2 linked regions of the Nothobranchius furzeri genome follow. The protein of the gene in region 2 purifies or fractionates together with the protein of the main gene of each other region. This does not show direct contact. Links are inferred from orthologs where the notes say so. Each region holds a gene or a part of one and is shown on either strand. Other genes may lie near its edges.

Region 1 (6,026 bases), on a different chromosome or scaffold from region 2:
ATTCACACGCTGGTGATGATGAGCTAATTGGAGCCACAGCTGCCCTGGGGACCTGTCCCCATGACCACCACCAGCAGAAACTGATTCAGGTTCAGAAATGTTGAGCATCAACAGATGTTATTAGTGACAATTTAGGATGCAGATATGTTAGAAAACGTCTAGACATCGGCCATGAAAATCAACCCAAAAAACAGGAGCACATATCAGCCATAACTGACCGTGACCTCTACATATGAGCATCAGTATCGGCAATAGAAAAACCATATCGGTTTATCTCTATAGTCTGATGTTTACAGCTTCATTAGTTTAGATGAACACACAGAAATCACATTGTGAAAGTTTCATTAAATTTGCTTTGATATGACCAAGATTGATTTACTGAAGCTTAAAGAGATCTTTACCATTTTGATTTCAATGTCAAAGTGATCTACAGGTCAGAGGATTTCAGATAAAACTCTTACAGGTATTTTAATAAACAACAAACCTTCTGCTGGAGCTTGAGTTTGAAACAATACATTAATTATGGCTCAAGCTTCATTAAAGGTGTTTAACATACACGCATGTCTAGTTATCCTTTAAGATCTGTGTCAAATGTTTCAGTCAGTAGGATGGAAGCTGTAGTGGGTGAGAACTGGAGTTAGTTTATCATCTACCACCATTTATTAGTCTGAACTGTGGATGGAAAAACACCCATCACTAGTTCCCAGTATGATGGATCTTAGAGCAACACTGCCACCTAGTGTTTAAGGCTCAAACTGAAGTTATTTTGAATTCAGGTCATGGATTGTTAAAGTTAAAAGTTAAAGTCCCATTAGATGTCACACACACAGGTGTGTGTGCGAAATTTGTTCTCCGCATTTGACCCATCCCCTGGGGGAGCTGCAGACACAGCTGCACTCTGGAACTATTTGGTGGTTTAACCCCCCAATCCAACCCCTTAATGCTGAGTGTCAAGCAGGGAGGCATTGGGTCCCATTTTTTCAAAGTCTTTGGTATGACCCGACCAGGAATCGAACCCCTGATCTCCCAGTCTCAGGGCGGACACTCTACCACTAGGCCACTGAGAAAGGGTAGAATAAAAGGGTAGAGAACAGGAGAATGTTCCCTTCAAACTGCAGGGATTTGTGTTTTCAAACAAATGAAATCAAAAGAATGTTTTTAAACATCTGATTCCACATATAAAGCTTAATTTGACCTATTAATTAACACTTTTATCCAGCCAGAAAAATGGTGTCACTCCTTCAACAGACAGCAGCTAATCCTCCATTAGCATCCTCAGTATAAAAATAATAAATCATGTACAAAAGTCACAACTGTGTCAGGTCCCCTGCAGCCTGATATTTCTGCTTTGAAACATAAGACACAAAATCCTCTCATTCATCTTCTTCACACGCTTGTTTCTTCCAAAGGTCACATGAAACTGGATCCTGGTCCAGTATTCGTAAAACCAAACATGGTGCTTTCTGTTTACAGGCCTGGCAGCTGTGTGCCAAAGTTGGAAAATATAAATAAAAGCACTGATGGATTTGAAAGAATCTTTTCAAAAGCTTTTGTATCTCGATGTTTTCACTGAGAATTTGAGGGGGCGGTTTGGATTTTTCTCCTGCTGTAAAGATGATCTCACAAACCACGTGACTTTTTTTTTCAACTTTATTTTCATTTATTGAAATTAAAATAAAAATACAAAACTAAATTGCTAAAAGCCAAAATGAAAAAGTGGACGGAAAGAAGAAAAACTTATGTTATCTGCCCCTTTTAACTAAAATAAGGTTCTCGATTTACCGGTCGATCTACGTCCCAATCCTCACCTATGGTCTTGAGCTTTGGTAATGACCGAAAGAACAAGATCGCGAATACAAGCGGCCGAAATGAGTTTCCTCCGTAGGGTGGCCGGGCTCAGCCTTAGAGATAGGGTGAGGAGCTCGGACATTCGGGAGGGACTCGGAGTAGAACCGCTGCTCCTCCGGATCGAAAGGAGTCAGTTGAGGTGGTTTGGGCATCTGGTCAGGATGCCTCCTGGACGCCTCCCTGGGGAGGTGTTTCAGGCATGTCCTGCCGGCAGGAGGCCCTCGGGTCGACCCAGGACACGTTGGAGAGGTTACATCTCCAATCTGGTCCGGGAACGCCTTGGGTTCCTGCCGGAGGAGCTGGTGGAGGAGGCCGGGGAGAGGATGGTCTGGAGCTCCCTAGTTGGGATGCTGCCCCCGTGAACCGGACCCGGATAAGCGGAGGAAGACGACAACGACAATCATATGATTCTTAAAAAATTTGAACAATATAGTTTCTGGACTGGTTGGCCGACACAACCTCAACCCATTAATTGAAAAAAAAAGAGAAAACAAGTTACACAGAAAGAAGCATAAAGTTATATACATATATACTTACATATACACATATGCATACATACACTTGTTCCCTTTTTACCCTTTTTTCTTTCTTTCACCCCCCCAACCCCCCTCCCCTCACGCGTTTATGTAACAGATCTATATAAGTTAATCATTTCATTTTTTATCTCTTTTTTGAAAGTCAATATTGTTTTTGCATTCTTGATTTCAGTATTTAATTTATTCCACATTTTAACTCCATATATGGACACACAATGTTCCTTTATGAGTATCCGATGTCTAGGTATATTAAATAAGTCGTGTCCTTTTAAATCATTTGCTATGTCTTTTTGTAAATCTTTTGATTAATCCTGCAGGTATGTACCCTTTGTTTGCATTATACATAAAATTTTAAAATATTGTAGTCCACCAGATCATAGAATTTTAGTGTTTTTAATTTTTATAAATAATGGATTGGACGGATCTCTGTAGTTGCTCCTTGTGATTATTCTTATTGCTTTTTTCTGTAAGATGTAAATGGAATTTGTGTAAATTTTTTATGTTGTTCCCCAGATTTCAATGCAGTAGTTCAGGTACGGTATGATCAGTGAGTTATATAACAAATATAGGGAATTATTATCAAGTAACCATTTTGCTCTATGTAACAGTGCAATGGTTTTAGATATTTTAGTTTTGACATTGTTTATATGTAGTTTCCAAGACATTTTTTCATCAATGATGACTCCCAGATACTTGACTTCTTTAACTCTTTTAATATTAATCTCATCTATATTTAATAAAATGTCATCATTTGAATGTATGTATTACTAAATATCATAAAACATGATTTATCACTCTTTAATGATAGCTTGTTCCCATCAAACCATAGTTTAATTTTTTTCATCTCCGTTTGTATCACTTCTATCATCTGCTCAACATTATCTCCTGAATAATAAAAAGTTATATCATCTGCAAATAAGGTGCATTTTAATATATTGGATACCTCAACAATGTCATTTATATAAATGATAAATAGTTTAGGGCCCAATACCGACCCTTGTGGTACACCACAAGTAATGTTATTTATATGTGATTTTGTGTTGTTTATTTGAACATATTGCTGCCTATCGGTAAATGGTAAATGGCCTGTATTTGATATAGCGCCTTCTAGAGTCCTGGAACCCCCCAAGGCGCTTTACAACACAATCAGTCATTCACTCATTCACACACACATTCACACGCTGGTGGGGATGAGCTACGGTGTAACCACAGCTGCCCTGGGGCGCACTGACAGAGGCGAGGCTGCCGAGCACTGGCGCCACCAGTCCCTCCGACCTCCATCAGCAGGCAACGTGGGTTAAGTGTCTTGCCCAAGGACACAACGACAGCGACAGACTGAGTGGGGCTCGAACCTGCAACCTTCCGATTACGGGGCGAGCACTTAACTCCTGTGCCACCGTCGATAACTTATCCATTTTAGGGCCATCCCTGTGATGCCATATTTACTAAGTTTTTTAATAAGAATTTTATGATCCACTGTATCGAATGCTTTTGTTAAATCAATAAAGATACTTATGAGATGAGTTTTTTGTCAATGGCTTCCGATATTTCTTCTGTTAATTCCATTAATGCCATGGATGTTGAATGATTTGTTCTAAAACCATACTAACTGTCATTTAATATCTCTTCTTTGATCAGGAATCGGTCCAGCCTAGCACCAGGCATGTCAACTCTATTATTTTTAAGTCCAACAGGTGGCGGCCCACCACTTTGAAGTTGCAAGTGCAATATTCTGGCCACAGGAGCGGTGGCGTCTGGGTGACTTCTCATTAACCCCGTAAACGGTCATTTTAGCACATGCTGGCTCAAGAAAATTATTTAAAAATATGAAAAAGTTGAACAATTTCCCTTTAAAGACCATTCAGGGTGTGTCCTCTACTTCATCAAAAATGTGGTGAGGAATAATTTATTCAGGAATGCACTGGTGTTGATACTGGCATCGGATTATCAGGCCGATACCACGTGCATGTACTCCCACTCATAAACTCCGACACTACAGGACACAATACCAGTGCCTCATCTGTATTTGCCTCATGAAAATAAACAGTTTATAAGTACATTTTATGGAGTATATTGACATTTATAACTACTTGTATTGGTACTTCATATCAGCGAGTACTCAAATAAAAGTACTTTTCTCAAACTCAGTCTGAAAGAATCGCTGATTTCACTGTCATGATTTAGCTCAAATATGTTCAGTTAAAAGGGAACACATCAAATTCAGCAAAAAATTTAAATGTGCTGCAGATGCATTAGATTAATAGTATGAGTCCTACCTTTAAACCACGCTCCTGGTTTGAACAAAGCCTTCTTCATGGCGCTGTAAAGATGGAAGTTTAGTCGTTTGTATTCTGCAATGTCGTCCCGCACTCGAGGCAGCAGCACCAAGTTATAAAACCTCTGAGCCATTCGCTCTTTCAGATTGGAGGAGAAGATTCTGTGTAAGAAATACAAAAAAAATGCCAAAATTTACTGAGCCAGGATCCTCTGGAGGTTTCTTCCTGTTAAAAGGGAGTTTTCCTCTCCACTCTGGCTAAATGCTTGCTTAGTATGAGGATTGCTTGATGCGATTTGCTGAGTTCCTTATATAGGAAACTTTTTACTGATTGGCTTACTGAACTGGCCTGTATTGGAATGTTTATTATGTGAAGTGCCTCGAGATGACTCTTGTCGTGATTTGGCGCTATATAAATAAACTTGAATTGAAATTTAATTGAATTAAATTACTGCCATGTTAATAACCCAAATGATCTAAACTCAGCAGTAATGTGTAGGAAATCCTTAGCTTAAAGACACAATCTGCAACATTTACACTTTAAAATAATATTTTTGAAAGCTTTTGGTGGCATTCTATGATATGTTCATTTTGGAGCTGTGATAGTGCTATGGGGTCCCACGTCTGTTTACTGCACTGTACAGGTTTTGACCGGCTTTCCACCCCCAGAAGTACTGACTGTGTGTTGTTTTATGGCAGTATCACGTCCATAGACCTGAATACGTAGATGCCCCATTGGGCGCTGGAGAGCGTTAACAGTGCCGCCGCCATATTGGATGGGTCTCCTCACTCTTCGAAATCAACTACAACAGAGTGAGCAACTATGCCCGTTTTTGTGCAGCCTACGGTTACACATGGCATACAATTGAAAACTGATCATGTGGGATTCGTATACTTTTCTAGCCTACCTATTTATTTTGTTTGGTTATATTTATATTTTAATTATGATGTCATACCTCTTGTCTTATTATGTGAAAAAGCTTGATAAAATGTGTTTTTTTAAATGGGTAAACATCTTCAGTAGAAATGAATGCAATGGAGACGAATGGCGGCCGGCCACTACGACAGCTCCAGTAGGCAGCACCAGTCCAAAGGACATCTACAAATGTCTGTGGTAGACCCACGGTTTAGAGACTTGAGCAATGGCAAATCCACCAAAGAAAGCTAGAAATACCTTATCAGAGGAATCTAGGAAAAGAAAAAGAGAACGCGATAGAGCAAGAGCAAAGAGCAGAGTTAACATCGGGCTGACTTTTCCTTGCTGGAGAGATCTTCTTGAAAGAATGGCATGTACTACGGACTCTGACCTAGCCGTGCTGCTAATGGATAGGTAAGTAATAAATTATTCCACCGGGATTATTGTGTTT
Region 2 (6,668 bases):
CAAATCTACCACTTTATTAACTCTGAACCGCTTAAATAACCTTAATTCCCTCCAACCTGACACAGCCAAGCAAAACAACGGAAGTTTCGATTTCGCCATGGAACGGAACGCGTAGACGGCTTTGCCGCTGCGGATCGCCTCCCGTGTGACAGGTAATAAAAGCGACAGCAACGAATTTCGCTGATCGCGGTCGTTTGTCGCCTCCCGTGTGTCGAGCCCCTTATTGGCCAGTGGCTGACCATGACCGCTTCATATCGGTATCAGCAATAGAGAAACCAATATCAGTCCACCTTTATTTCACACCTTTAACTTATATCTACTTATTGTTTCCTCAATAAAGATATTGCACCTCGTTCTTTCTGTCTCTTAAAACTTGTTAATCCTTTAAATCTTTGTTTTAAATTATATCATATAGGGTTTTTGTCCTTTATGTTCGTTTTATGTAAAGCACCTTGTTTTTATGATACATCACATGCTGTAACCACATACTACATGAGAACATCATCGTAGGAAAGTGTGAATTCCTTGTTTTCTCTGCAAAAAAAAATCTTGTTGAAAATATCGGAGTTTGTTGGATAAAGAAAATAGGGAGAGCACAATTTCTTTCTGTAGGGCTTCTCCAATAGCAAGGTGAGTGATTAAACAGAACCACACACTGTTGATTGAGTCAGTGAGGATGTTGCAACACATTAGTCATCAGCTACTCTGATAGGATTGGATGGAGTGATGGAAAACCTGATTATGTAAGTGCTTGGTTTGACTCACTACAGGAAGCAACTGGTTATATGAAGGAAAGTCAGATCAACATTGCGTCTAAACGTGTGGAACAACAAGATCAACAAAACAATTTTTAATTCTTTTATAATATTTTCAATATTTGAAGCTGTGGCTCGTTACAGTCAGCAATATTGCGACTTTTGCACTTAAAAGGTTAAAAGGAGCTTAGGTATTAGCAACACCTGTGAAAATGTATCTGCAGGAAACAAATGTTTATTGAAGTCTTTTGTAGGGCTGCTCAATTCATCGAATTTTAATCCCAATTACAATCTGAGTTTTGAACAATTATAAAAACAAGACAAGCCGATTATTTGCTTCTCCCTCTTGCGCTGCCCCGAGTTGCAAACCAAGTGCTCCTCCCACAGTGTTGCTAACTTTAAGACTTTGGAGCCATTTCCAACAGCTTTTCAGACCCCCTTCTTGACTTTTTAAATCTTAAAAGGACCAAACGAACACCCCAGAAACATTTCTGGTAACCCTTAACCACTTTCTGGACAACTGTGGTTGACATTTCCTGCAGGTTAGAAAACACTCCGCCAGAGATCGGGACCGTCCTTCAGGATAGTAGGAAAGGGAATGATGTAGTGATTCATTACATTAACTGATGGGACCTGTAAATGAATAGTTTAGAAATAAGGAAGAAATAGACAGAAATAAGTTCCTCACGCTGCTAATGATAAATAATAATTAATCTCTCTGAGACTGAGGACACGTTGCTAGTGCACTCTCCTACATCACCTAGACAGGACTAAATAAATATTATGCAACATTTTGTGAACATCACTAAACATAGATGTTTATGTTATAAATGCCACAGTATAATTCTTCCTGTCAGCATTTGCAATATATTGGTTTTTTGGTCTATACTGGTTAGGCTTAAACGAGTGAAAACAAGGTCTACAGCCCTTGAGTCATAAACTTTGAGCAACTATACTGATCTTTTTATTCTAGGAATCAGGAATAACTTTTATGATCTGGTTTCTTTCTTTTTCTTCTTTGTCCCGATTGTGCCCTGAGCAATTTTATGAACAAATAACAAATAAAATCAATCAACATTAAATAATCGAGACCTCAAGTTCAGTCACAATAATCGTGATTATCATTTTTGCCATAATTGAACAGCCCTACTCTTTAGTGTTTAATGTTTTTGACGTCTTGTCTATGCAGAGCTTCTGTAGTTCAGTTGCGTCCATAGCTGCTAGCCAAACCTCAGTGGAGTTAAAGTCTCTTGTGTTTTCTGGATTTATTAAAATATCTGTCTGTACTTTTTTGATTGATGGCAGTTTTTGCTTTTTATTAGACTCCAAAAGTAATCATTTAGCATGTTCCTAAATTATAATTTGTAAGAATGTAATCAGTGATATTATCAATAGCATCCCGTAGGGTTTTTCAATGTATATTAGCAATGTGCTAACCACTCTCTGCCAGTCAAATCGCAGCCTTTGCGATTAGAAAATCTTTTTTGTCACATCACAATTTAATTGCATATAATTTCCCTACTTCAAACTAGAAGCTAATGATGGGTATATTAGAGCATCCTGGACTAATCATCAACAAAACTGATGATTAGTCGACTATTTAGTCATTTGTGGCAGCCCTACAGAAGACGACGTGAAAACATTACCACTGCTGCTGCATTGAAATTCACTAGTCTCTGGAGCTGGTCAAAACAAAGACATTCACTTTAAGTGTTCGCATATTTTGTACGTAAATGCTATTGCATGTTTGTAGTGTATTCTCCATTGATTAAATAAACATTCTGCAAGTAATTCAAGTTTCCCTGTTGTTGTCCTTTCTCTTAAAGGATACCCAAACTTTTGAGCGTTTGTGCCACTTAGAGGCCATTCTTCCTTCCCAGTAAAGCCTGACTCCGGTTTCACACTGCAAGTATCAGCGGAACGGAACAGCAGCGGAGCGGCTCACTCGCGAACTTTAAAGCGGTCCTTTTCACACCGGGAGAGTCTTGGTCGCGGCACGGCTTCCTCGCTGTGCCTCGTTGTACCCGCGAGATTCTAAAATCCCTCAAGACTTCCGACACCTTCCTCATCGAGAGATCACAACCCCTGCGAAGAATCGCACCGTTGCACTCCTCGAAAGAAACTGGTGGTAAACAAAGCTGTTCGGTCACACTTACTGACGTAAGTTATATATAACATTGTAACGTTGCATTTTATTTTGAAAATAACCGGGTATTTTACACTGAAACCGTGTGGTTTCCTGTCTCGCACTATGTGAACTGCGGGAATTGACGTGTCCCAGAAGTGGCTCCCGGAACAAATAGAACTCGATGTTGTCCTGGCAGAGAATTGCTTTGCAACACCCCTTGGGCAAACGGGGAAGTATGACAGTAAAACGCTTCTATCAATCCGTGCATGTCTGTCCCTTGTGGAGCTGACGCAGAAGCATGACTCAGGCTTAAACGCGTAGCTCGTTTAAGCTACACAACATGAGTGGTGATGTAATTTGCGCCAAATGGAATTGATAATGGAATCGTATGCAAAAATGGCAAATGATTCCAAGGAACTGCAACTGTGGGAACCAGTTCTCAACAAGAACCGGTTTTCAATTCCCAACCCTAGTATTTACCATCTTGTACTTGGACGTAGAAATGTATATATATCTCTGACCATGTGTATGAGCAGTATCAAGTAGTAAAACGGTCACTTTTAAAGGTATTGGTCATCGACACACGTTCATCCACAAATTGCTTTCACCTAATAAGTAATTATATCTGTGGAGTAAAAGCTTCATCACATAACTGGTGTTAAAACCTATAAAAGACACCTTGCTTCCATCAGTGTCCCCATGACAGCTGTGGCTGCTATGTAGCTCATCATCAACAGTGTGAAAGGGTGTGTCATGCCTTGGGGATTGTAGAAAGCGCTATATATAAATAAAGGACATTTATTCTTTGGAACTATTATGAATATAACTCAAGAATAAACGTAAGTATGCTTTGATTCAATGTAGGCATTTTATTTTTCTGGTTATGCTTTAGTTGTAGTGAACTATGAATGGATCACCTTCATCTTTGCTTTAAAGCAGCCAACCTGCATTAATTGTCTACAGTCTGTATTTCTCTGTATGAGCTGCCTTAACGAGTGGATTTTCCCACTGTGGGATCAATAAAGTATATCCTAATGTATTCTACTCCCTTATACTTCACCGTCAGTAAATGGGTAAATATAACAAACTCTCACCCAGTAAAAATGCAAGTGTTTCTGAAACCACGGTCTGGTCGGTCATTTTGCTCACAGACTAACGTCGTTTACAAGGAAAAAAGAAACAGGAACTTAAACATAGCCTTTAGCTTCACAGCTAGCGTCAGTTTCGTTGTTTTACACAGTATTCATTATTACGACGCTCACAAAAGACAACTGCTACCAAAGTCGAGCACAATTAAACTCGATTAAACTTTACAATAGCCGGCCTTTATCCTCTTTTAATGCCGAAGTGAACAGAAAGAAACGTGAAAATTACATACCCAAGTAGATGTCTCCAAATGATCCACTTCCAATTTTTCTGCCCAGCCTGTATCGGTTTCCGACTCTCAACTCCATGTTGACAAAATCTGACAGGCTAGCAACTACACTCGTTAGCTCCAATATTTGTAACAAAACTAATTTGTTCAAACGCAACACAATATTAAAAAAATATGAATCCAAAATCCTGTTTTAGCGATATATTTCGTCTTCTCAGGATTTGTGGGCTTCTTTTTCGCCTCCTTTTTCACAATATTATTAACATTATCTATAAACAATACGATGCTTGTCGGAAAGGTCAGCGCTTGTTCTTTCTGCTCCTGCTATTGTTAAAAACCAGTACGCGTTTATTTTACACGGATGAAGCTGGATTTCGAAGCTAGGTACCAGCTCCGGTACTCTGGCTTACAGATACTAGCTTAGAGCTTGCTAGGCAATTTATCGGAGGAGTTTGACGTCACTTCCTGGCAAGATGAGCGGAGAGGAATCCACCAGAGAGCATGTTAGTGAAGATACACCTATTAGTAACGTTTTGTTCCTTTGTTTGTACGGTTTGTGCAGATTAAATGTAGCAATATGAAAAGCGTAAAATAACGATAAAGCTTTTTGTATTGCAAATACAACACTCAAACATTTTTAATAGCTACTAGAACATTACCTCTGTTCTTGTTTACTGATAGAGACCAATCTTCACTAAATCATTGTGTCTGGTCAGTCACAACAAAAGATTGTTTCCTTTGTCCTCTTGGCCTCTGCCCATCATGCACTGTCCATCTCGCATGAACTTGTAAAAACTCAAATAAAATTAGGCAAGACCTAGATAGTTGTGAAATAACACCAGAAAATCTTGCCTGAATTAATGTTGAACGTTGTTGAATGTAAAAAGTTAAAACCGTAAAAAATGTCCAAGAAATTCTGCAATGGAAAAACGGCTCAGGTCAGCTTAGTTTAAGTTGTTTTTCCAAGTTAAGCTGAGATACGGCTACATGGGTGCACACCAGTCGTGTGCACATGCCCCATGCAATCTCACCCAACATAAAGTAGCGAAAAATGATCTGTAAACAGCGTAAGGGGGTCTGTATGCCACACATGGATGCTTGCTTTCCTCTTAGGTTGCTTATGAAATTATATTATGACATAGTATCTTATTTACACTATTTTATTTTCTCCTAACTTAAAAGTTATTATGCAGAGCTGTTTATAAAGTGTAGTGCTTAATTTAGATTAAGCTATAGAATGTCTATTATAGACTTTGACATTATCAGAACCATACTTTTGGTGTCAAATATAGCACTAGTCTACGTGTAGCACTGATTTTAGATGCACCCTTACAAGGGTGTCTTGTAAAATAAACTCCTTCACCCACAGCTACTGTTGTTATGAGAAGCTGCTAGATTGAACCTTGAAGTTAGAAAAACAAATTCCCAGACTTTCAGAGGGTCATCTGACTTCTGGGAGCGTTCCAGCTAATTGTTCCTACTCTGAAGTTAGAATATTCGAGTCCCCCAATGGAACACACCAATTGACTCCCTGTTGGTTTTAATATAATATAATATAATATAATATAATATAATATAATATAATATAATATAATATAATATAATTTTAAATATATTACAAGGACAATGTCCTTCCTTGGTCAAAGAAAATGGTTAAATGGAACAGATTTGCATCATGTGACGTGGGAGATAAATTTTATATGTATAAGTTTCAATTTTAAAGCCTTTTACATTTTAAATTGTGTATATTTGTTAAATGAAATATGTAAGCGAGTTACTACTTGCTAGCCACCAAAGCTGCATTTACTAAGCAACTAACCAACCATAGCTAACATCTTTGGATCTAAAAAACATTTCAGATATTTGCCCAATAGCTACAATTAGTTGATTTACATTTGAACTTGAAATTTGCTCGCAAAGTAGCTGCCGGCTTCTGATCCACCATCCTATTGAAAATACCGCTGTGTATTCTGAGACATTTTTGACCAAGGCTAGGCTACATCCTATCCTTGCTCAGCTAGTTAAACGGCTAACAAACAGAGAGCAGACACCTCAGTAGAACATGAACATTGGAACACGCCATGGCGGTTCCTGGTGAAGTATATCCTAGGTAACCAGGGCGGGGCCAAGACATCAAGGCAAGGTTTCTTGGCTATGAGAAACACCCAAGGTGTCTGCCTCACAGACTAAAGCTGGGACCTGGTTCCACAAGAGAGGAGCCTGATAGCTAAAAAATCTGCCTCCCATCCTATCATTAGATATTCTAGGAACCATCAGTAAACTTGCAGTCAGAGAGAGACATGCTCTGTTAGGAACATATGGAACAATCAGGTCACTGATGTATGATGGAGTTTTTTTTGTTATTAAGAGTGACTTAATATGTGAGAAGATGGACCTTAAAATCTGTTCT

Evidence for each region. The genes of interacting proteins can lie anywhere in the genome.
Region 1: the proteins of csnk1da (region 2) and bysl purify together in Homo sapiens (affinity purification with mass spectrometry; 3 studies listed by BioGRID and IntAct, with this or other methods). This does not show direct contact. The link is inferred for Nothobranchius furzeri from reciprocal best matches to the Homo sapiens genes CSNK1D and BYSL.

Annotation. Positions count from the first base shown.
Region 1 is NC_091743.1:46,641,300-46,647,325, forward strand, and holds part of bysl (bystin), read right to left. Parts: intron 4,822-6,026; coding exon 4,661-4,821; intron 1-4,660. UniProt on the Homo sapiens protein: Required for processing of 20S pre-rRNA precursor and biogenesis of 40S ribosomal subunits. May be required for trophinin-dependent regulation of cell adhesion during implantation of human embryos.
Region 2 is NC_091758.1:11,453,112-11,459,779, reverse strand, and holds the start of csnk1da (casein kinase I), read right to left. Parts: upstream 4,569-6,668; 5' UTR 4,338-4,568; coding exon 4,262-4,337; intron 1-4,261. UniProt on the Homo sapiens protein: Essential serine/threonine-protein kinase that regulates diverse cellular growth and survival processes including Wnt signaling, DNA repair and circadian rhythms. It can phosphorylate a large number of proteins.